Ovis aries: one gene and its partners. The protein of the gene in region 3 binds, or shares a complex with, the protein of the main gene of each other region. Links are inferred from orthologs where the notes say so. Each region holds a gene or a part of one and is shown on either strand. Other genes may lie near its edges.

Evidence for each region.
Region 1: the proteins of RHO (region 3) and SAG are in contact, whole or in part, in a crystal structure (PDB 4PXF), measured with the Bos taurus proteins. The link is inferred for Ovis aries from reciprocal best matches to the Homo sapiens genes RHO and SAG. Residues at the interface, in NP_001014890.1 of Bos taurus: Arg135, Val138, Val139, Lys141, Leu226, Glu249, Val250, Met253, Met309, Asn310, Lys311, Gln312; in XP_010802144.1 of Bos taurus: Asp71, Ile72, Met75, Gly76, Leu77.
Region 2: the proteins of RHO (region 3) and GNAT3 are in contact, whole or in part, in a crystal structure (PDB 4A4M), measured with the Bos taurus proteins. The link is inferred for Ovis aries from reciprocal best matches to the Homo sapiens genes RHO and GNAT3. Residues at the interface, in NP_001014890.1 of Bos taurus: Leu72, Arg135, Val138, Val139, Lys141, Thr229, Val230, Ala233, Thr242, Thr243, Lys245, Ala246, Glu249, Val250, Asn310, Lys311, Gln312; in NP_001103452.1 of Bos taurus: Ile344, Asn347, Leu348, Lys349, Asp350, Cys351, Gly352, Leu353, Phe354.

Annotation. Positions count from the first base shown.
Region 1 is NC_056054.1:7,670,488-7,678,460, forward strand, and holds the start of SAG (S-arrestin), read right to left. Parts: upstream 5,039-7,973; 5' UTR 4,821-5,038; exon of another isoform or gene 4,136-4,820; 5' UTR 4,110-4,135; coding exon 4,005-4,109; intron 1-4,004. UniProt on the Homo sapiens protein: Binds to photoactivated, phosphorylated RHO and terminates RHO signaling via G-proteins by competing with G-proteins for the same binding site on RHO. May play a role in preventing light-dependent degeneration of retinal photoreceptor cells.
Region 2 is NC_056057.1:42,063,283-42,071,273, forward strand, and holds the start of GNAT3 (guanine nucleotide-binding protein G(t) subunit alpha-3), read left to right. Parts: upstream 1-2,953; 5' UTR 2,954-3,151; coding exon 3,152-3,269; intron 3,270-7,991. UniProt on the Homo sapiens protein: Guanine nucleotide-binding protein (G protein) alpha subunit playing a prominent role in bitter and sweet taste transduction as well as in umami (monosodium glutamate, monopotassium glutamate, and inosine monophosphate) taste transduction.
Region 3 is NC_056072.1:56,172,251-56,180,115, forward strand, and holds the end of RHO (rhodopsin), read right to left. Parts: intron 6,259-7,865; coding exon 6,090-6,258; intron 4,878-6,089; coding exon 4,712-4,877; intron 4,594-4,711; coding exon 4,354-4,593; intron 3,544-4,353; coding exon 3,433-3,543; 3' UTR 2,007-3,432; downstream 1-2,006. UniProt on the Homo sapiens protein: Photoreceptor required for image-forming vision at low light intensity. Required for photoreceptor cell viability after birth.

The sequences.
Region 1 (7,973 bases), on a different chromosome or scaffold from region 3:
TTTCATTTCTCGCTGTGATCGAAAGGTTTCTCCTCCTTGTTAGAAGAATTTCTGGACTTAGCAAGAGGCAGATGTTCTGGCATCCCTGAAATCCTATCGGGTGAGCATCTATACAGATACACCTGAAGAAGTGGGGAAGGCATCCTGGCTGGGGAGGGATAACCATCTCCCAGCCCTCGTCCTGTCTGTTTCAACGCCCCTGGCAGCAAAGGTCCCTTTACCACCCCCGTTTGTGGGAGAGCATCGGTTGGATTCACCGCCACTCATCGCCTTAAGCCGTGGCACTGTGGCCACGGTGGTAAGAATTCTCTCACGCATCTTTCAGCCACCACCGTGTCTAGTGCAGTGTCTGGCATAGGCAGGAATTTAATCAACATTTGCTAAGTGCATCAGTGAGTGAATGCATGGATCCTGGCTCGCTCCCTCTTCCCCAAGCCTCTGAAATTCGTATGTCTCTTTCCGTGGACACTCAAAATAATTTCTGTTGGCATTAAATCATCTCCTATATCTGCTCCCTTGTAGCAGTTATCCAGGAGTGTATCTCTGTGGTTTCCAGGTTATTTGTGTGATTGATGTTGAAGCACCTGACCAAGTGCTGGGGGTGGGTTATGGTGAAAGGATGCTTTCTGGGTAAAAAAAACCCTCAGCGTGTAAAAAGTCCAGAGCCAAGAAAATGCTTCTGGAACTGCCTATGGTTTCACCTGCAGGTGCGTAGCCACCAAATGGGGATGCAAACAGCCAGAAAGAGTCTTACAGGACCAGACTCTAAAGATTCCAGGAGGATGTGGAAGCATCTGAAACAGGATGAAAGGCCTGCAATTAAGGGGTATGTGGTGCCCTTGTCCTGTACCAGGCGCCAAGCTAAGTACATGGGGCACATTATTTCATTTAATCCTCATGACTACCTTATGAGCTAGGGATTAAGCCCGTTTTATGGAGGAGAACACTGAGGCTCTGGTTGCATTGGCAGCAAAGTGGAGAAGGGGTTGGCGAGAGGAAAGCCAGGTAGGCAGCTGAAAGTGGTCGGGAGGAGGGCGAACTGAGGAATGAGCAGGAAGGGAGAAGATAGGGGGACAGAGAATGTCTTCCTCTTTTTCAAGCTTTGGCTGTGAAAGAAGGAGAGCTAGAGAGGAGACAGGGTCAAGGGACATTTGCTGTTCTTTTTCTTGTGTTTAAGATGCATGAAGTCGGTCCTTGTTGTTATGCTTAAGCTGGTACTGGTAGAGAAAGAGAGATATCCCCAGAGGGAGGAGGCTTTGGGACAGGACTCAGAGGAGGTGGTGGGCCACGACCCAGGCTGTAAGTAGCATGAACCTCAATGGAAACAACAGCGCGTTCAGTTCAGTTCAGTTCGCTTGCTGCAACTGCAAGCGATGGGAAGAGACAGGAGCAGGTGGGGAAAGTGGGGTGGATGAGGCAAGGCTCCAGCCCGTCTGCTGCCTACCCATCTGACAGCCACACGCACCATCTTCCTGGATAACAGTCACCAATCATCGCATCCAGGGCCCACCATCCCCAAGCGGTTGTGTTAAGAAGGCCACCCCAGAGGATCGTTCTTTTTTCCCCCTAGTTTTACTGAGATATAATTGACATATTGTTTAAGTTTAAGGTGTACAATATAATGATGTATGTGTAAATCACAAAGCTATAGCCACAAAGCTATAAGCCGAAACTGAAACTCCAATACTTTGGCCACCTGATGCGAAGAGCTGACTCATTTGAAAAGACCCTGATGCTGGGAAAGATTGAAGGCAAGAGGAGAAGGGGACGACAGAGGATGAGATGGTTGGATGGCATCACCGACTCAATGGACATGGGTCTGAGCAAGCTCCGGGAGTTGGTGATGGACAGGGAGCCCTGGTGTGCTGCAGTCCATGGGGTCGCAAAGAGTCGGACACGATTGAGTGACTGAACTGAACTGAACTGAATAGCCGCAATAAATTTAGTTACCATTCATCATGAAGGATGACTCTTGAATGGCCTGCTCCTATTCTTTTGGCTCAGGATGGGCTGAAGGTGGGCATGTAATCAGTTTTGACCAATGAGGTAAAGACGAGTCTGCTGGAGAAATACCTCCTCACCCTTAAGAGACCTCAGGAATCAACAGCTTTTTCCTTCTGGAAGGAAGTGAAGGTGAGTCCCCTGAAGCTGGGGCAGCCGTCTTGCCACCAGCCGGAGGGTGAAGGTGGCAGAAGACAGAGGAGTGGCGAGATTTGGAGAGAAACTGGCCCAGGGCCCTGGCACAACACGCCCGAGGCCAGACAAAGACTTGCAGTGGGAATGACCCTAATACGGACAGAGTCGTGGATGAATTATACTTTCCTCCTAAATACAAGAATTCTAAGTTTTCCAGGTCAATGGAGGTCTAGCTAGGTGGGAGTAAGGAAAAAGTGAGAAAGTGGTAATGCCCAGCAGGAGCGGTTTCTCTCTTCTTTTGCCGGAAGTCAAGATAAAGTTCACTGGAGAGACACAAGTTGGAAGAGAGCTGGGAGGGTGAAAGACTGCGGGGTACCTGACTTGTCACCCTGAAGAATCAGAGGACTGGATGGAAGTATGGAGATCTTCAGGGAGGAGAGGGGAAGAGGAGAGGGTCTGTGCAGAGCCCGTGAGGCATGAGAAGCTTCAGAGAGTTTCTTTCAGGCCCAGTGTAGGCTTCAGGAGTCAACCAGAAGAATGACCTAGGTCCACATCCTCCACTATTTATCTACTGGTGGCCACCAACACTTGAAATATGGCCACACCAAACCGCCATGTGCTGTGAATGAAGAATGCACACCAGGTCTCAACAACAGAAAACAAATTTAGCACATGTCATCAATCTTCATTGGAAGGACTGATGCTGAAGCTGAAGCTCCAGTACTTCAGCCACCTGATGCCAAGAGCCGACTCATTGGGAAAGACCCTGATGCTGGGAAAGATTGAATGCAAAAGGAAAAGGGGGTGACAGAGGATGAGATGGTTGGATGGCATCACTGACTCAATGGACATGGGACTGAGCAAACTCTGGGAGGTAGTGGAGGACAGGGAAGCCTGGCATGCTGCAGTCCATGGGGCTGCAAAGAGTCAGACCTGGCTTGGTGACTGAACAAACAACAAACAAGTGTTAGCAATGCTTCTTATACCATTTACATGTTGAGATGATAGTTTTGTTGTTATATTGGGTTAAATAAAATGTAGCATTAAAATGAATTCCCTGTTTCTTCTTACCATTTTAACATGGCTAATAGAAAATTTTAAAATTAGAAGTGCAGCTTGCAATGGGTGGCACAGAACTAGACTGTCAGCCCCTGAGAAGCCATCAAGCCGTGCAAGGAGACACCATCCACAGAGGCTGTGGGGCGGGCCCTTGACTGGGTCTCCCCATCCACAGAGGCTGTGGGGCGGGCCCTTGATTGCATCTCCCAGGCCAGGAAGTTCACAGGCACGTCTAGCCCACCTACTGTCCCCCTGATGGAGCCAATAGTGGCATCACCTCTGCCGGGTATGCAGGGTGCCAGGGTATCGGCCGCGCAGCCACAGTGAGCACTGTGGAGCCTCGGGAGATGCGCCCTCATCCAGCGGTCCTGGGAGCCCTGAGCTTGGCGCCTGGGGTGGGTGCCAGATGGTAGAGAATTGCATGACCCAGCATCAGCGCTCTCCCCAGGCAGGTAGGCAAGACGATGGAAAAAGGCCCAAGTAAATTATAGGCGTTACCAAAGCAACGTCTGAAATGTAAGTCAGGGGTTCAAGGCTAGAAAAAGAAGTAAAATTGGAGGAGAGGGATTGGGCACCGAGAGATCAGGAGAAAATGAAAGGTCCTGGGGCTGAAGTCTTGTTGAGATTGAAGAGAAGTACTATTTCGGCAAGTCATCCCTTTATATCTCATCTATCATCCCAGCAGACAGGGATGGATGACACTCATATCGCTTCCACTGACCTCACAGGGTTTTGATATTGATCCCATCTATTCGAAAAGCTCCTTAAAAAAATTCATCACTCAAGCCCCTCACATCTGCCCCACTCACCGATTTATCACGGGAGATCTTCTTGTAGATAACGTGGTTTGGTGCGGGCTTATTGGTCTGCATGTTGGCTGCTGTGTTAACGGTCCCTGGCGGTTTCTTCCACATTAGGGTGTACGTCAGGTGTTACAGGGCTGTGGAAAGGTAAAGCCATCCTAAATATAACATCTAGAACATTCTCGGAATTATACCTACTCATGAGATACTGTGTATCCATTAGGCATTTCCTTCTACCTCGATATCCACGTTTGACTTGAAAAGGCCTTTGTCTGGTTTGTATTTCACTACAGTGAGCTGCCTTTTTTTTTTTTTTTTAAGGTATTTATTTTTTCCTGATAAGCGTCAAACACTTCTTAGTAAGCCTCACCAGCAAACCTCACTTCTTAGTAAACCTCACTTCAGACAGATTCCCACGAGAAGGTTTTACTTTGAGACTAAGCCTTGCTATCGTCACAGTAAGCCAGATTGATTTTAAAATTCTATCTTGATGATATATCATGGCAATTAAGGTAGAAAAAGTTCCTGCAAACCACAACCTAACCACTTCATGAATATCATTTGAAAAATCCGTTAAATCCCCTAAAAGTCCTGCTCAGCAATTCACACTAAGCAGAGTTCTCTCTCACTATCCCCAGCTCTACCCACAACAAAGAGGCTGTCTGAAATTCAAAATGCCTTCTGAGTTTCCCTAACAAGTAATGTCCATGGAAAGTAACTGGGTCAGACTGACTGCACGAAGATGCCAGTCTCCCCGGTCCTGGCTCTTTCCTGGCCTGCCCCGAGGTTCTGAGAAGGCTTTGCTGGAGGATGGTCACGTACCTTGTGCGACCAGCCGGGAGGGCCCAGGAGGTGGGGAGAAGGTGTGTGTGCCCTCCGGGGTGAGCAGACGGCCAACCCCTGTTCTGTCTACCCAGACAACTCCACACGGGCCCTGGCTGACCGCTCAGGGGGATTTGTAGGGAACTGGGAGAGTGTGCCCCACACCCACATCTCAGTGCCTAGAAGCCAAATCCCATTGAAGGAGCAGAGTGGTAACTGGATTAGTGCTGAGGCGGACGAAATGGTAGCTTCAGCAGTTCTCAGCATTAGGCAAGGGCCTCTCGGTCTCCCTCCAGAGGGGCTCACGGTGGGCTCACAGGAGCCAACTGGCTTGAGCGGGGAAGGGAGGCGGGGGGGGGGGGGGGGGGGAGGGATGACAGCTAGTAGACTAAAGCTACTTTCTATCTTAACCCACTTTGGGTTCTGGAAATAGACTGATTATCCCTTCCTCCTGCTATCACCAGGAGAAGGGATTTTCCAGAGCTCAACCAACTTGATTAAACTCAGCAGGCAGCTAATGCAACCTTGGGGGTGGGGATAGAGACAAAAAGGTCAAGGAGAAATGTCAACCTCAAGATGAATCCTGGTGTTACGCAAGCCAAACGGGTGCTGCCCTTCTCCTCTTCCCCGTGTCCTATCCATTAGGTCATGAGTCCTGTCAGTTTTGCCCCTGGCGTCCTCTGAATCCTTCTAGTCCTCCAGCCTCCGCAGGGTCCACACCAGCCCCTTGGCTTTCCCAGACTAGAGTGTCTCCTGCTGTCTAAGTACATCCTTCCAAGCCCTGAGTAGCCACCCTCCAGCTTAGCATCTCACCTTGCTCTCAGCTACAGGCACAGAACCTTATTTTTGAAAAAATTATTTATTTGGCTGCACTGGGTCTTAGTTGCGAGATCTTCAGCCTTAGTTGCAGCACATGGGATCTAGTTCCCTGACCAGGGATCAAACCTGGGCCCCTGCATTGGGAGGTGGAGTCTTAGCCACTGGACCCCCACGGGAGTCCTAGGCACAGAACTTTAAAGTCACGCACTCCAGCCTCTGCCCACCCTTCCCCATCTCCCTGCAATGCACACCCATCATTGCTTCTGTCTGGAACCACCCTCTTCTCCCACACTCCTTGATTCTTTCCACCCTTCAGACTCTGGCTCAAGAGTCACTTCCTCAGGGGAGACGTCCCCCACCTCCAGACTAGGTTGGAGGCTCTTCTGCATCTGATGCTTGTCTGCAAGATAATTTCATGGTCTCTCATCTCAGTCAAGGCTGTGGTTTTTCCAGTGGTCATGTATGGATGTGAATTGGACTGTGAAGAAGGCTGAGCGCTGAAGAATTGATGCTTTTGAACTGTGATGTTGGAGAAGACTCTTGAGAGACCCTTGGACTGCAAGGAGATCCAACCAGTCCATTCTAAAGGAGATCAGCCCTGGGTGTTCTTTGGAAGGAATGATGCTAAAGCTGAAGCTCCAGTACTTTGGCCACCTCATGCGAAGAGTTGACTCATTGGAAAAGACCCTGATGCTGGGAGGGATTAGGGGCAGGAAAAAGAGGGGACGACAGAGGATGAGATGGCTGCATGGCATCACTGACTCGATGGATGCGAGTCTGAGTGTACTCCGGGAGTTGGTGATGGACAGGGAAGCCTGGCGTGCTGTGATTCATGGGGTCGCAAAGAGTCGGACACGACTGAGCGACTGAACTGAACTGATCTCATATTTGACTCTAGGCTCCACGAGGTCAGGGACCCCACGCTGTTTTGTTTATCTTGTTTATATTCCAGTGTCTGGAATAGAATATTCAGGGAATGAATGCAGGGGATAGTGTGGTCACTAACATGCATGTGTTTTGGACTTGAGCTGGTGTCTCGAAATGAAGCCAGTCTAAGCAGAAAGCCAGTTCTGATGTTTGGGGTGTTAGTATCTACTGAGATACCCCAGTGGCTTCCCGCCTAACCCCTGCATGATCTGGGTCCCCTTTCCATGACTTGCTCACTTTGCTCCAGTCAGCTGGCCTCTTTGCTTTTCTCCAAACCTGCCTCAGGGCCTTTGTACCTACTGTTTCTTCTTCTGGAACACTTTTCCCACAGTCACTCGGCTCGTTCCTTTTACTCCTTTAGGTCTTGACGTCGCTGTCACCCTGTCCATCTGTATCCTGGTGTACCACCCCATCCAACACTTCTGTCCTCCTCCTCAGCATTCCGTTCCTCTGTAGCACCTGCCACCATCTAACATAGAGGACAACTGATTCATTTGTTTATCGTCTGTCCCCCCTCCAACCACTGTTAGATTGTAGGTTCCAGGACTGAAGAGATTCTTGACTATTTAGTTCCTCTCCCATCTGCAGTGTCTAGAATAGGGGCCTCAATAAGCTTGGAGAAAATCAATGAGTCACTGGATTGCAACAGTATGCTGGCTGGCAACAGCTGAAGTTGGAAAAAAATTTCATTTCTATGAGAATAAAATTTTTAAAATATATCTAGATCTATAAACAGATCTAGTTCCTTAACCAGGGCTCAAACCAGGATTGCCTGGGAGCAGGGAGTCTTAACCCTTGGACCACCAGGGAAGTCCCAACTTTTAAAAACTTTAATGGAGGAATGTCAGCTAAGAAATGTAAAGAGAGTGATAGAATTAGAAAAACACCACTTGACAAACTCTGACTGTATTAATTGTGCCTTTTTATTTTCTATAATTTTGATGCTTTGACATCTGAGGCTTTGCTGACCCTGAAGAGACTGCCATCCCAGGCTAGTTTTTTCCCAGAGTGACTGTTTTTCACATCTGTATCAGCCCACCCAGGATGTGAACACACCAAAGGCCTCCTTTCCTGCTTTGCTGGGGGGTCTCACACTCTGAACCATTACTGCCTTGCCCCCGTGACTCATCCTGGGGCCAGGTGTCAGACAACTAGAGACAGCCCCTGCACCCCAGAGCCCGCCTTAAGTCCGCTTATCTTGTCTCGCCAGTTCTTTCTCAAGGAAACCACAAAAAACCTCTTGCCCATGTTTTCTCCTTGATCCTTCTACCGCCCAACTGGCCCCTGGTGCTTCCATGGGCGGCCTGCCCCACTTTGAGGAACTGTAAGTAATAACCTATCTTTTCAATAACAATGTCTTCTGAGCCACTGATCTCACCAGAGCTGAATAACAGTAAAACTTAACAT
Region 2 (7,991 bases), on a different chromosome or scaffold from region 3:
GAAAAGACCATGATTCTCCAATACAATGTCTCTTTCTTTCTCTGTGTGTGTGGGTTGTGCACACAATGTACGTATATCTCTCTGTGTGTGTATGTATATGTACAGCAATCTACCTTTTTTAGTTGGTCACTATATAAAACTCTAATATGATAGGATACTTTGGCCACCTGATGCGAAGAGCTGACTCATTTGAAAAGACCCTGATGCTGGCATGCTGTGGTTCATGGGGTTGCAAAGAGTCAGACACGACTGAGCGACTGAACTGAACTGAACTGGACAGCTTTATGTTTCTTATTTTAAAGAAGGAACAAAATGTATAGCCACATAGCTCCTTAAACAAAAACATCTAATTTAGTTACCTTTTCCTGTTGTCATTTTTATCAATTTTCCCTCACTACAGAGCAAGGTTTAATAATAGAAAGGGAGTATGCTGGTGTTATTTTTAAGGCTGATAAAAAAAAAAAAAGATGTACTTATTGGGCTAACAGTTGTAATCATAGATATGAACACTATTTCAGACTAAAATTGGGCTTCACAGGTGGCACTAGTGGTAAAGGACCCACCTGCCAATGCAGGTAGACATAAGAGACGTGGGTTCGATCCTGGGGTTGGGATGATCCCCTGGAGGAGGACATGGTGACCCATTCCAATGTTCTTGCCTGGAGAATCCCACAGACAGAGGAGCCTGACAGGCTGGGGTCCATAGGGGTTGCACAGAGTCGGACATGGCTGACGCGACATAGTGCACATACACAGACTAAAATTGGTCTTTTTGTTGATTTTTTGAGTCACTTTAAAATTTCAAGGGTGTTGAGACAGACCCATCATGACCCTGAACCTTGGAAATATTCAACTGTGTTATCACCTCAACAGAGCACACACACAAAAGGTCCCAGGTCTCTATCAATGTACTAACAAAAAATAATTTTTGAATATTTCCAATAGTTAGCACTATGCCAAATACAATGGAGGATACCTAAGCTAATAACATACTGTATTCATTCTAACAGAATTTACTATTTTATTTCCATAATTTTCTTAGGTCCAGAAAAGCATAGTGAGTGATAAGTAAAGCAACATGGATTAATAGCTATATTAACAACCACAGCTCATTAGTGAAGCTGAGTTCCAGGCACCCAAGGGAGAGGAATGAGAAGCCTTTCTCTTCTCTCTGGCTCTCCCCAGCTTCCCTCCCCTAAATATAGATACACCTTGAATTTAATGTCAAGATTATTTTAGCAGCTAATGAAAAAAAAATCACATAACAATCTCATAAATTTGAAGATAAAACATTCTGAGTCACACAGCAAAGTAGAATTTTGTAACTGTATACAGTACAGAAAATATACAATTATACTCCTGGAAGAGTTGGTCGGTTTTCATCAGAAGCCCACGTAGAAGTCTTAGTAAATTGCATACCCTTACAAAGCCACAGTATGTCCCCAGCAAAAAAATAGGGAGTATATCTACTTGAATGCAGGTATAGAAAGTACCTTATCTATTCATAATTGCTATGGAATACACAAGAGTCTTCTATATTCAAGGTACTTTATAGTCAATTTTGACGTAAAAACAAAAAGGAAAAGATTTTAATGTTTGTGTTCTTTTGCATTGCTGTTAGTGTGGATGGACTCGGTGTCCATGAGCAAGTATAAATAAACCAGTCAGTGCAAATCTTGTTCCTTTGGGGCAAGCCTTTTGCATTTTAAAAGCAACATCACATGCTTTGCATACCTACCTTTCCACATCTTTATACTATCATAACATGGCTTGGGCAGATGAAATCCAGAAAGTTTTGACTATGCTTATGTATTGACAGTCTAATATTTTATGTGAAAAGTAAACAAAGCAGGACTATGTATTAAATTTGGCAGCCTATTTCCTTGTTCTATGAATATGCAAAAATACACCTGTTCAGAGTTTGTCCACGATCCCACAAGAACAGCACTAACATGCTGATCGACTGCCTGTATTCTAATATTTCTCTGTTAGGCATGTCCACAAATCCCAAAATGTGCACTGAGAGATTTGCCTGCTGCCACAGGTAGCCAACTCTGCTTAAGAGGAAAACATCACTTGACTATCTAAGTGCTTTATGCTTCATATAAACAAACAAGCAAAAAAATTGTATAACAGAATCTGTCTCCAGACTTGCAGATTGTCGAGAAGGACATGATGTCTGTTGGGGTAGTCGAAAGGCATGGAACGTATTTAGGTATATTTACTGTTCTTACCTTTCAGGAAAAACCAAATCACCTACTGTTACAAAGAATATTGCTTTTTATTCCCTCAGTACCAAATCAATAAAAGTCCTTCCAGCACAACAGCTGTTCCTTAATGGCCCCAGTTAATGCACTGCCTGAATCAAACACATTCCAGTGTCTATACCAAGCAGACCCTCAATTAATGGTGATGGATTGACTTTCTCACAAGCAGTAGAAGCTCAATTTATAGAAATTGATCCTATGAGACAAAAATAAATAATTTAAGAGCACTGTGTGTTAAATTCTATGTTTGGCAACACAGCAATGTGTATAGATCTAAGAACTATGTGTTTTTTTTTAATGAAAAGGTTTTCTAGTTAGCTGACAGATACTGAATGTCTCAATCATTTTGAGTTATAATCCAAGCATAGCAAAACTATAAATCTGGGTGATTCATATGAATATTCTGATAGTGATATCATAATGATTATGAAGAATCTGAAGACTCGTATACCTAAAGATAAGACACGTTTGTTCGTTAGTAATTATAACTTTAAATCTTGCAATAAAGATTGCCTATTAGTGATAAACACTATTTGAATTGTCCATTTCAGATCTTTAGTGTACAGATTTTCATAACTTTCTACATTATTGTATACTATTCTTTAAGGAAGATGAGTAGGTTTGAAGGAGGGCCAGAAGTAACCACTTAATTTGAAAGTATAATGAATTTTCTCTTTCGCTGCCATAGAACTGTGTGGTTTTACCCTTTGTCAGGTGATAGCATCTCCTTAGTCAAAGCAGAGTCTTAGAAAATGAGGGAATGGGCTGTTGGGTACTTCAGCAGAGCATTGCTCTTACATCCTATGTCTAAACCAGAGCACTAGCTGCGCTCTACATTCCAAAAAGTTTGAGCAAATAAACTGACAAGCATCTACCACTACAAGATGGGAATTGGAATTAGTTCAGAGAGCAAGGAGTCAGCCAAAAGATCAAAAGAATTGGAGAAAAAGCTTCAGGAAGATGCTGAGCGAGATGCAAGAACTGTAAAGTTGCTGTTGTTAGGTAATATCCTTTTTTCCTTTTGCCTTTAAAACCCTGCTATTTTTCCAACAGTGATGTATTTACTTTTCTCAAACTTTAATTTCAAGGGTATTACCATATGGGAGATTTATTACGAAAATGTGTTTCGAAATTGATTTTATGTGTACTCTGTAAATATTTACTTTTTTGCTTAGGATTTTATTGCATGTCTTTTATTAAGCAGAGAGACAACTATTTATTAGATGACTCAATTTCTCTATGTCAGTAATCTTTTATTATTAAAAAAACTCATGGACATTTATTATTTTATTATATTCTAGTTATTTTCTGAATATCAACTTTTTAATATGGAAGAAATCATTTAATTACATCTTACAAAGACTTATGTCATTTTGTTTGGAAATATTTTGTTTGGTATCAGCACTAATATGTTATTTAATTACTTATACTGTTAAAACCAATTAGTCAAGTTATTTAGAGAGTAATGATAAAGTACTTTAAAGATACTAATAATATTATTCAGGTTTCTGAATACTATCTGTATAATTGAAAAATACTCCATTTAAATCCTTTTAGGATATTTAAATATTTATTTAGGTCAGGAATTATGTCTCTTCTATTTTTTATTCCCTCAAAATTCAGTACACTATTTAACCACAGCTATGAATTTAATAAATGTTCAATGAACTGAAAGAATGAATATAATTTATATATCATGCATTTTCTAAACATGTCACAGTGCCTAGAAAATAAATGATTTTGAGATAAAATAAAGACCTATGAAAGAATATAAAACAAGAACTTCAATTTAATCATAGTTATATGTTCCTCCTGCTCTTCATTATACACAAAAGCACTCCATTTTATTTCAGAATTGTGAATCTTTCACACAACAAAATATTCTTATTTGTATCTATGTGTTCTTTTACCATGTCTGATTTGCTCCCAGTGGCAAGAGTATCTCAGAAACCAACTATAAGATTCCCACTATTTGCTCTTCCAAGGAAAGGAAATGTTTTCTCTCTTTATGCCCAATTCCTGGGGCTTCACACCCACAGCACTTACAAGTAACTACCAAGAGAGGCTGGTAAGTTAGAAAGATGTAGGGGTCAGCTCTTATGAAACCACCAAATGCAACTTCCCTAACGCTCTGGAGTATCTGAGACTTTGTCAAGAGTGAAAGTAATAAGTGGACATAGAGAAAACAAATAAAAGATGAGAGGGAACACCAAACATTCCGGCAAGTATGTTCTATGTCCCTGTTGTACTGAGAACCATGGCACAGGACTAGTAACACAATACACAGAGAACCCCTATGTTTGAATAAAATTTCAAAAGAAGAGATATTTTCAATATACGAATTATTTTTAAATTAAAGTGATGGGCTACATAAAGAGGAAAGGGTAACATTATAGAAGAAGATATATAAAGTACTTTAGTGATATTATTACATCTTTTAATATCCTAAGACAATCACAATTGCATAAATTCATCTCCAGTGTTACCCATACATCTGGATTCATTTGGTTCCAACAATATGTCACTGAACTTCTCTATCACATCTTATTTACACAGATGAATCAAATTCTCTGTAGCTTTCCCTATTCAGTGATAGTTCAAACCCTTGACTAAGTTTTCCCTTCTGGACTCTAAAGTTCTATGTGGTAATTAAGTCACTAAGTCATGTCCGACTCTTGTGACCCCATGGACTGTAGCCCACCAAGTTCCCCTGTCCATCGGATTTTCTAGGCAATAATACTGGAGTGGAATCTTGCTGAAACAGGGATTGAACCCGGGTCTCCTGTACTGCAGGCAGATTCTTTACCAGCTGAGCCACCAAGAAAGTCATATGGGTTCTATATCTAATGATTAAGTTGTCAAAGTTCAAAACAATAAAATCTTGTAATAACTCTGCTTCAATTCTCATGTTTTGAACTGAAAGCAAATTATCTAACCTATTATCTTTATATTCAATTTGGCCTCATTAATATATAAAAGCATTCAGTAGAACCAAAGTAAACCTTCCCACCCTCAAATCCCCTCACTAATGAAATCTAATTTCTCCCATCATTGAAACAATGACAATACTGGCGCTCTACTCCTTAATTCTAAAACCATTTATTCCTGATTTTTCTATGTGCTATCTTGTAAACATCACAGTATCATTTTTAATGTATATGTATATATACATTAATTTTACATAATTATCAAGTAATACAATGTACATATACATATGTATATCCTTTTATGTATATCAAGAGGAAAGAGGACATAAGACTCCTACTATATCAAAGTTCTTACTTGTATTCTGTTTAAATAAGTCTTTTTATTTTAAAAAGCACTTCTATATATGCGTGGGAAAGGACGCAGAAACCTGGAGGTGTTCCTCAGTCACCGGCTGGAGTATAAATTCATCAAGCATAGAAGCTCTATTTTATGTTTCTATTACACCAGAAGAGTCAATGCTTGTCTGTGGATGTGATCACTTTTACAGGTCCCCTGGAATAATTATGTTACAATTAAAACTTGCAAAGCATAATTAGAAAAAAAAACTTATTTCAGATAATCAGTGGTACGAATCTTGTGAACGCCATGCAGAAGCGATTCCTGAGTACTGTTTCCAAATTTTTTTAATTAAAATCATTCTTTGTTATATTATTTTGTTTAAAAATATTTTACAATATTTTATTTTTATAAAGATATCAATCATTGGGGTGTACAAATATTTTTACTATTTATACAAATGTTTAAAATTGTTTTTCAGTAAAGTGGAAAGAAACAGTCTACTTGGAGAGTCAAATTGTCTCCAAAGCAACTATTTGCACCATAGCAATCTGAAACCTTCAGAGGAAAAGTCAAATATTTACAGTTATATTTTTTATAACTAATGGCATCTGGCAGCATCAAATAGCTCTCTACAGTGTCCCTTTTCTCTAATGGGCAAAAAGCACTTAGACAAACATTTTGCATTTATTTGTTTGTTTTAGATTAATATATCTAATAATCAAGACACATTAACAGACTCATAAGTCCCTCACATGAAAGATGTAAACCATTCATTAAGGCATTCCATATTTAGCCAACTTATGGTATTTGTTAATGAGATTAAATACCCTGTCTTGCTGAGAATAACTCTCATTAACTGTAATGTAACAGAACATCTCATGTTATATCACAGAGCGTTTTTACATTCATTTGCTATATTCAAACCTTAATTATTGATTTAGGAGCAATACTGTACTTTTAAAAATATTCAGATAAGCAACATGAGTTAACACAATTTATTTATCCTTCCATTAATTAAAAAGGAAAGAGGGTAGTGAAACATTTGATGGTATAAAGTCTCTGTGATAAATTTTACATAAAATATACTTCCAGTTAAGATTTATACTCAAATTCAGAATCCATCTCCTTATTTAACTTTCCTACAAATGTATCAGTGTAGAATTCGCCTCTAAGGAAGTGGGATTCAAGCTGAAACTGAAGGTAAAACTCATCAAGATATAAAAATATTGATTTTGTGTATTAGACTCTGCTCCTAATAAACTAAAGTCAGTTCAGTCGCTTAGTCATGTCTGACTGTTTGCGACCCCATGGACTACTGCACACCAGGCTTCCCTGACCATTACTGAATTGTGGAGCTTATTCAAACTCATGTCCACCAAGTCAGAGATGCCATCCAACCACCTCATCCTCTGTTGTCCCCTTCTCCTCCTGCATTCAATCTTTCCCAGCATCAGGGTCTTTTCCAGTAAGTCATTTCTTCACATCAGGTGGCCAAAGTATTGGAGTTTCAGCTTCAGCATCAGTCCTTCCAATGAATATTCAGGACTGATTTCCTTTAGGATGGACTGGTTGGATCTCCTGGCAATCCAAGGGACTCTAAGAGTCTTCTCCAACACCACAGTTCAAAAAATCAATTCTTCAGCACTCAGATATTTTTACAGTCAACTCTCACATCCATACATGACTACTGGAAAAACCACAGCCTTGACTAGACAGACCTTTGTTTGCAAAGTAATATCTCTGCTTTTTAGTATGCTATCTAGGTTGGTCATAGCTTTTCTTCCAAGGAGCAAGCGTCTTTTAATTCCATGGCTGCACTCACCATCTGCGGTGATTTTGGAGCTCAAGAAAAGAAAGTCTATCACTATGTCCATTGTTTTCCCCTCTATTTGCCATGAAGTGATGGGACCAGATGCCATGATCTTATTTTTTTGAATGTTGAATTCTAAGCCAGATTTTTCACTCTCTTCTTTCACTTTCATTAAGAGGTTCTTTAGTTCTTTGCTTTCTGCCATAAAGGTGGTGTCATCTTGCATATCTGATGTTATTGATATTTTTCCCGGAAATCTTATTCCAGCTTGTGCTTCATCCAGCCTGGCATTTTGCATGACATACTCTGCACATAAGTTAATTAAGCAGGGTGACAATATACAGCCTTGATGTACTCATTTTCCTATTTGGATCCAGTCTGTTGTTCCATGTCCAGTTCTTACTGTTGCTTTCTGACCTGCATACAGATTTCTCAGGAGGCAGGTCAGATGCTCTGTGGACAGAATTGTCCACAGTTTGATGTGATCCACTCAGTCAAAGACTTTGACATAGACAATAGAGCAAAAGTAGATGTTTTTCTGGAACTCTCTTGCTTTTTTGATGATGTTGGCAACTTGATCTCTGGTTCCTCTACCTTTTCTACATCCAGCTTGAACATTTGGAATATTTCACAGTTCACATACTATA
Region 3 (7,865 bases):
TCCTTTCGGCTCCTTCCTATCCCCACCCTCAGATCATTCGGTTAACATAGGGCTAATACAACCGGGCTTCCCTCGTGGCTCAGTTGGTAAAGAATCCGCCTGCAGTGCGGGAGACCTGGGTTCGATCCCTGGGTTGGGAAGATCCCCTGGAGAAGGGAAAGGCTACCCGCTCCAGTACTCTGGCCTGGAGAAGTCAATGAACTGTATAGTCAGTCCATGGGATCGCCAAGACTCGGATGCGCCAGGGTGACTTTCATTTTCAACTCTACCGTGGGCGGCAAATGCAATCAGGTGACTGGGGGCCAGGCCAATCAGAGGACGAATGCCCATCCCAGCCTGGTGATTGGCTTAGGAGCTATCAGGTGACCCAGGCCTGGCCAATGAGAGCCCTACCTGGAAACGACTGACAGATGGAGAAGAGAAGCCCCATTTCTGCAGGGTTTGCTGAGCTTGGAATTACTGGTGATTTCCATGCTTACATCTTTGGAACAGTTAACCTGGCATAAAGGCATTACTTTGTCAATAAAGGTCCATCTAGTCAAGGCTATGGTTTTTCCAGTAGTCATGTATGGATGTGAGAGTTGGACTATAAAGAAAGCTGAGTGCCGAAGAATTGATGCTTTTGAACTGTGGTGTTGGAGAAAACTCTTGAGAGTCGCTTGGACTGCAAGGAGATCCAACCAGTCCATCCTAAAGGAAATCAGTCCTTGGTGTTCATTGGAAGGACTGATGTTGAAGCTGAAACTCCAATACTTTGACCACCTGATGTGAAGAGCTGACTCACTGGAAAAGACCCTGATGCTGGGAAAGATCGAAGGCGGGAGGAGAAGGGGAGGACAGAGGATGAGATGGTTGGATGGCATCACCGACTCGATGGATATGAGTTTGGGTGAACTCCAGGAGCTGGCGATGGACAGGGAGGCCTGGCGTGCTCCGGTTCATGGGGTGGCAAGGAGTCGGACACGACTGAGCGACTGAACTGAACTGAAAGGCAACACAGAGGAAAGTGCAGCCAAAGGGGGACCTAGAAGCCAGATAACATGGACTTCCCTGGAGGTCCAAGGGTTGAGTCTCCCCTGCGGGTGCAGGAGCCGTGGGTTCCATCTCTGGCTAGGCTCCAGGGCAGTTGATTGGATGAGCCACAGCTACTCACTGAAGCTCAAGTGCCCTGGAGCCCGATCTCAGCAACAAGAAAAGACACCGCGATGAGGAGCCCGAGCGCCGGAGGGAAGGGTGGCCCCCGCTCACTACAAATAGAGAAAGCCAAAGCACAGCAAGGAAGACCCAGTACAGCCCCCTCAAAAGCCAGGTGACCTCATCTGAGCACCTGCACCCAGGCATGCCTGAAGCCCTGATTTTCATTTATGGGAGCCAATCGTGTCTTCCTTTTGCTTCGGTACTATTGAGTGTGGTTTCCTGCCTCCTGCAGATAAAGGAATCCTGACTGACATCACCCACCTAGGGAGACGGAGTAGAGAGGGGCAACAGCAGAGATCCCAGCTATTACCTGCCCCAGCCCCTCCATGACAAGAAGGATCTCCCTTCTCAGACTCCTGCTGCCTTTTCCCGCCTTGGAGGAGGATGGTCATTCGGGAGCTACCCCTTCATCCCATTCCCCCTTCAGATGAGGTCCCTGGTAGGGCCAGCCCGGAGCTGAGGCTCCAGTAATGCAAAAAAGCCTCTCATCATCTGCTGAGCTCAGGAAGCACGTTGGCTGCATAAAGCCTGAAATCTCATAAAGGTCAGTTTTAAGATCCCCTTTTGCAGATAAGGAGGCTTCCAAGAGGTGACAAAATTTGCCTGCAGTTTCACAGGCCACCTGGATCTCTGTGACTCTGAGGTTGGAGCTTTTCCCATTCCTGGGCTTGCACTCCCAGGGGGCTCTGATAGTTGCTCAAACCCAGAAACCCCAGGGTTAAGGATCAGATGAACACTGCCCCGTTTCTACCCATCCTGTAGATAAAGAGCTTGAGACTGACAAAAACCACCACCACTAACACCAAGGATAGGAGCCGAGCTTTTAATACCCCAATTTGCCTTCATCTCCAGGCAGAGCTGGGGAGAGGTAGAGCTTCCCGCTTTGGTATGTAGTTGAGGAGGGGCATTTATGAGGCGGCTGGATTCTGATGTCCCAGAGTCCCAGCCAGCCTCGCAGCAGCAAGGACTCTCTGGAGTGGAGAACGGACTGGAGCCGCTGAAGGCTTGCCCAGCAAGGGAGCTAAAATCTGTGATCTGTGAACTTCCCTGGGGGAAGGTGGGTCCAGCTGGATTTCCCACACTTTTGTTTTTTAAGCTCTTTTTGAGACAAAGGTGATGTTGGGGACCCAGCTCTTCGTTAAATGTGGGCAGGTGAACATAACTTCTAGAAGCTCCATACGGGCCCAGAGATGCTGAAGCCTGGGTGCTGGGCAGGAGAGCTAGTGGTTTTTCAGATGCCGAGAGCAAGACCTGTCTCTCTGTGGGTTGCACTGGAAGGGAATGGCCCGCGTCATGGGGGCTCTGCACTGGCCCCAGACTCTGGTCCTCTGATGTTGTTTTCTTGTGTTTTTGTTTTCTTCTCAGGCCTGATGACTGCACTCTGCATTTCCTTGACTGTCCTTCCCTGTGGCCCACCACCCAGCGCTGGTCTGGCCTTGCTGTCTGTCTAATGTTTATAAGCCTGATGAGGCTGGATGCTTAGGGCTTTGCCCAATCTCAAAATGGTCGCTATCAAGAGGAGATGATCATAGGAATGAATTACTTATATTAATTGATATTATTCATAATGTTAACTACAGTCTGTCCAGCTCCTTACTATTTACAAAGAGCTCACACACGCAAGCACACGTGCACACACACACACACACACACACACACAATCTCATTTGATCTTCCCAGCAGCCATGTGAGGAGAGATTTGGAATTCCCATTGTATGGGGGAAGAAAGTGAGGCCCAAGGACAAAACAACTGCTCAAGGTCATCAGCCAAGGGCGAGCTGCTGCTGCTGCTAACATGTTATGAGAGAATGACTATGCCCTCCCGACCCGTTCATCTCTCCATCCACGTCTCCATTCATTCCTTCCTTCCTCCACCTAGCATTTATTAATAAGCACCTACGGCGTGCCCCGTCATGTGCTACTCACTTATCCCTAAGCTGGGACACTTTTCCAGAGCAAGAGCTCTTGTGTAGCTGAGAGATGAGCTGAGGGGAGCGGAGCTACAGTGGGCCCCCGGGAAATCAGGACTCCAGATCGGGCCGCCCCTGCCAAGTGAGGCGCCTCCTGTTTCGCTCATTGATTCGTTTGCATTTGGTTGGTTGGTTTTTGTGTTTACACTCAGGGAGCCTGTGAGAGCTGGTTCCAACAGGCGCGGCTCCGGATGGAGCTGCTGAGGCTGGGGTGGGGTGGGGGCTGGGGGACTCCTGCGGCTGGCCATGGAGTCCCTGGAGGGGCTTAGGCAGGCGCCACCTGGCTGGTCTCTGTCTTGGAGACGGTGGTGGAGGCCTCGTCATCACCCAGCGGGTTCTTGCCACAGCAGAGGGTGGTAAGCATGCAGTTCCGGAACTGGAAGGAAGAGGTAGGGTTAGGGTAGGGGTGCTCAGGGTCCCGCAGAGTCTGGGTGGGAAATGGCATTGTCAGCGCGGTGTGCCATCTCCCTCTTCTGCCTCTGGCCCTCCCAGCCTCCGATCCCCGGTCAGATGGCTGGGACCAAACCCGAAGGGACTCTGTCACTGGTGACGTGCCATGATGCCCTCAGTGTGCCAAGAGCCATCTGGAAGTTATCCCATTGAACCCAAGAGTTTAGGATTTCATCCTTTCCATGGATGAAGAAACTGAAATCCAGAAAAGGGAAGTGACTTGCCCAAGGCCACACAGCTAAAACCTAGCACAACTGGGATTTGAACCCGATCTGTCTGACTCCAGGTTTTCCCCACTGGACCAAAGAACCTGCAGAGGAACCTCTGGTCTATGTTAAAAGGACTGCTTTATCCCTTCATCCCTCAGAACGAGACTTTTTGGCATCCTGTCCAGCTTTGTGGAGACTGGCACCTGTTCCCAGGCCCGGGACTTTGACCGTCTGGACTTTCAGAACCATCTGGACTGGCGCTTCTCTTTCCTAAGCCAGTGTCAGAGGGCTTGTTAGAAATGCATATTCCTGGGCCCACCCTGAGCTTCTAATCAGAAGGTCTGGGGGTGGGTCCAGGAATCTGCATCTCTCCCGGATGACTCATGATCACCCCAGGGAAAACCAACACCCACCCACCCACCCCGCCCATTTTGCAGGTGGAAAGACTGAGGCCCGATTAAGACTGCGGCTTCTCCACCTGTCGCCTCGGGGGGAACCTGGCCCCTTCCCACCCCACCAGCAGGCACCTGCTTGTTCATCATGATGTAGATGACGGGGTTGTAGACGGAGGAAGACTTGGCAAAGAAAGCCGGGATGGTCATGAAGATGGGGCCAAAGTCGGAGCCCTGATGGGTGAAGATGTAGAACGCCACCCCGGCGTAGGGCAGCCAGCAGATCAGGAAGGCGATGACCATGATGATCACCATGCGGGTGACCTCCTTCTCGGCCTTCTGAGTGGTGGCCGACTCCTGCTGCTGGGCAGCCGCCTGCGGGGACACAGGGCCCGGTGTCCAGACTCGAGGCTCCTCTGGGCCGGGGGCCGCGCTCAGCCTCATCAACGCTCTTGTCCCCAGCCCCACAGCACCGGTCCCCCAAGGACCCTACCTCCTTGACGGTGAACACCAGCTGCCCGTAGCAGAAGAATATGACGATCAGGGGGATGGAGAAGTGGACCACGAACATGTAGATGACGAACGACTCATTGTTGATCTCCGGCTTGAGCGTGTAGTAGTCAATCCCGCACGAGCACTGCATGCCCTCCGGGATGTACCTGAGGCCCGGGAGGGGCAGGGGCCGGAGGGGCAGGGGGAGACCCGCGTGTGAGGGACCGGGGAACAGGCCCCGCTGGCCAGAGTCCTCTGCCAACGCCTGCAGCAGGGCTGCCCTCACTCTGGGCCTCACTTCCCCCCTCTGTAAAATGGGGATAATAAACCTTTCCTTGGCTGTGAGGCTCACATCTACTGAGATAAGGGATCCAAGTGTGTGGAAACAGTGTTGTTGCCTCGTTCAGCGCTGTGTTACCCTGGGACCCTGGTCTCTCCCAGTCTCTCACTCCCCGCGCCCCTACTCTGCCCCCCTGCTTCCCTGCCTGGCGCTTCTTCAGCCGGCCTACCACTCCCAAGTGGCTGGAGGCCAGGCCTCGGACCATGAGGTAGGTGGGGAGAAGGGAAAAGCTCCCAATGTCTGTATTGCAGGCACCCAGGTCTTTTTAGGCCGCTCAGGGTAATTAAGGGATTTTTGCACAGTTTCTGGAAACAAGAGGCCCTGGGGCGTGTGGTTAGGGCGTGTGATTTCAGAGGACGGTGACACTGAACCGACCCCAGGAAACCCACTGTCCATTAGCTGCGTCTACGAGGATGTAACTAGGCCAGACTGGAGAAGATAGGGAGGGAGGGGCAGGGTTTTTTGCCCTTTGCTAAATTGCTCAGGAGGGAAAACACTGGCCCCAGGAAGACTGAGAGAGAAGGAGAGGGGAGAGAGATGGCAGTTTCCTGGAAGCAGAAGGGCACGAAGCCTCTGGGAACCCACAGAGGCCAGTTTCCCAAACCACGTTCCACCCCACCGCCATCTCATCTCAGCCCGTTGGGGGATATCAGCCGAGAGTCTTGCCAGGACTGGCTCCCAGGGCGACACCGCCACACCTGCATGAGGGAGGCTCTGCTTCTGCAGGGGCGGAGGCCTGAGGTCAGAGGAGCTGCTCCCGGGGCACTGGACTAAAGAGGATTGGAATCTGGCCTGGCTTAGTTGGGGATTAGGGGCACAGCCAAGGTGAAGGGTTGGGGCGTCTTGGAGTCTCCTTGACACGGGGAGCAGCCCCGTAGTGACGTTAGGAGCTGACCCTCTTTTCCCTGCCCTAAACCTCAACCCTATGACAGCTGCCATCTCGGGGGGCCTGAAACCAGGCAGCACCGGCCCCCCTCCGGCTGGAGGACCCTAGGAAGCACCCCGGAGACCCTCCTCCCCCCCTGCTCAGGGCCGTTACCTGGACCAGCCGACCAGGGGGGGCGCGGCGCAGGCCAGAGCCATGACCCAGGTGAAGGCGACGCCCATGATGGCGTGGTTCTCTCCGAAGCGGAAGTTGCTCATGGGCTTGCACACCACCACGTACCGCTCGATGGCCAGGACCACCAAGGACCACAGGGCGATTTCACCTGCAAGGCGGCCACTGTCAGCCAACCGCCGCGTGGCTGGACCTGTCTGTCTGAGGAGGAGGTGTGCTCCTCCCGGGGATGGGGAGGGGGGCCGACAAGGAAGGCACCGGGGAGCAGTCCTGGAGTGCAGACTTAAGGAGCGGAGGGTCTGGACACGGACGAGGGGAGGTGGCAGGGCAGACGGGCCGATACACCACATGGAGGAACTCCCAGGAAGGTTAGTGCAGCCAGAGCTCCGGGTTCGCGGGGAACATGGCAATCAGCTCGCAGGGTCATGGCTGAGAGCTGGGAGCCCGGCGGGCAGTTTTCACAGAACAGTGTGTCCTTTGTGGGGCCACCGGCAGAGTTCCAGGCACAGGGGATGGCAGAGGCAGCAGGAGCCAGAGGGGGAGGCCTCCCTTTCCTCCTGGGCAGCGGGCCTCTCACCACCAGGGACATGGAACACCCTGGGCATGGGTGACCCTCTCTCGGGAGCCAGGGACCCGGAGAGTGTTTTGCTCAGAGGGAGGAGGAGGAATGATAATGATGGGGTTCAGACATCTGCCCTGCACATCACCCCCAGAAACTCAGGAGGGAGGTGGCCGTGGGGTTTACCAACCGGGGCATTTCTGAGAGTGAAAGGGAATGCTAGTGGGTACTCCAGGCCCACGGTTGTCGCAGAGGCGTGCCCACCTGTGGGCGGCACCCTTCTGGCCTGAGACTGGGGGATCGTGGTCATCCAGCAATGGCCAGTGCCCCAGGAACAGGGCTGAGGCAGGGCCTGGACACACGTGGGATAGAGGAGACAGAGCATCCTGTGGCTGGTGCGGGCTCTCTCTGCCCCCAGGCTTTGTGACAATGACCTCCCGCGTCTCCTGCTTGCCTGAGAGGCCGTGTCCCCACCGGGGGACACTCCTGGGTCTGAGCCAGGAGGCCCAGGCTCTGGGCACTGGCCTGCCACGTTCCTGAGTCAACTCTTCCCCTCTGCACACTGCAGTTTTCTTATCGGCTAAATGGAATCTATTCACCCATTTTTTAGTGAAAATATTTTAAAAGCATGGCTCCCAGCTACACAGATCACCTCACCGGGTCTACTGTCTCCCTGTGAATGGACTCCTCAAGGCAGAAAGCCTTCAGGCAGAGCAGAGAGCCTGGAGGCGAGCTGGGATGGAGTCAGAGAGAAGCCAGGGAGGGACCATGCCCGGCGCCCAGTGCAGGCAGAGGCCGGTGCCTGGAGGACTGAGGACTCTCATCCCGCCCCAGGCTGGGGCCCTGAGCACAGGCATCCGTGTCCAGCTCTCTGTCCCCGGGACCCGGTGTGGGTCTCGCCCAGCCCCACTGCTCCAAGAGGAGCAGAACCGTGGCCTGAGGGGCCGCAGAGACATAGGCTTGCAACTCGGCCTTGCCAGAGACTGCCTGCGACCCCAGCGAGGCCCCAGACTCCTCTCATCTGTCTCCTGGCTGGAGGGCAAGACAACGACCCCAGTGCCAGTGAGATCACATGCTTGGCGCCCGCCCTCCACCAACGCCGGGCAATCTCGTCATTGCTTATACAGCGTTTATTGACTGAGTGAGGGAGGGCTTTGGCTCACGGGCTCTTGTCCACCATCCGCAAGGTTGAGGCTGTC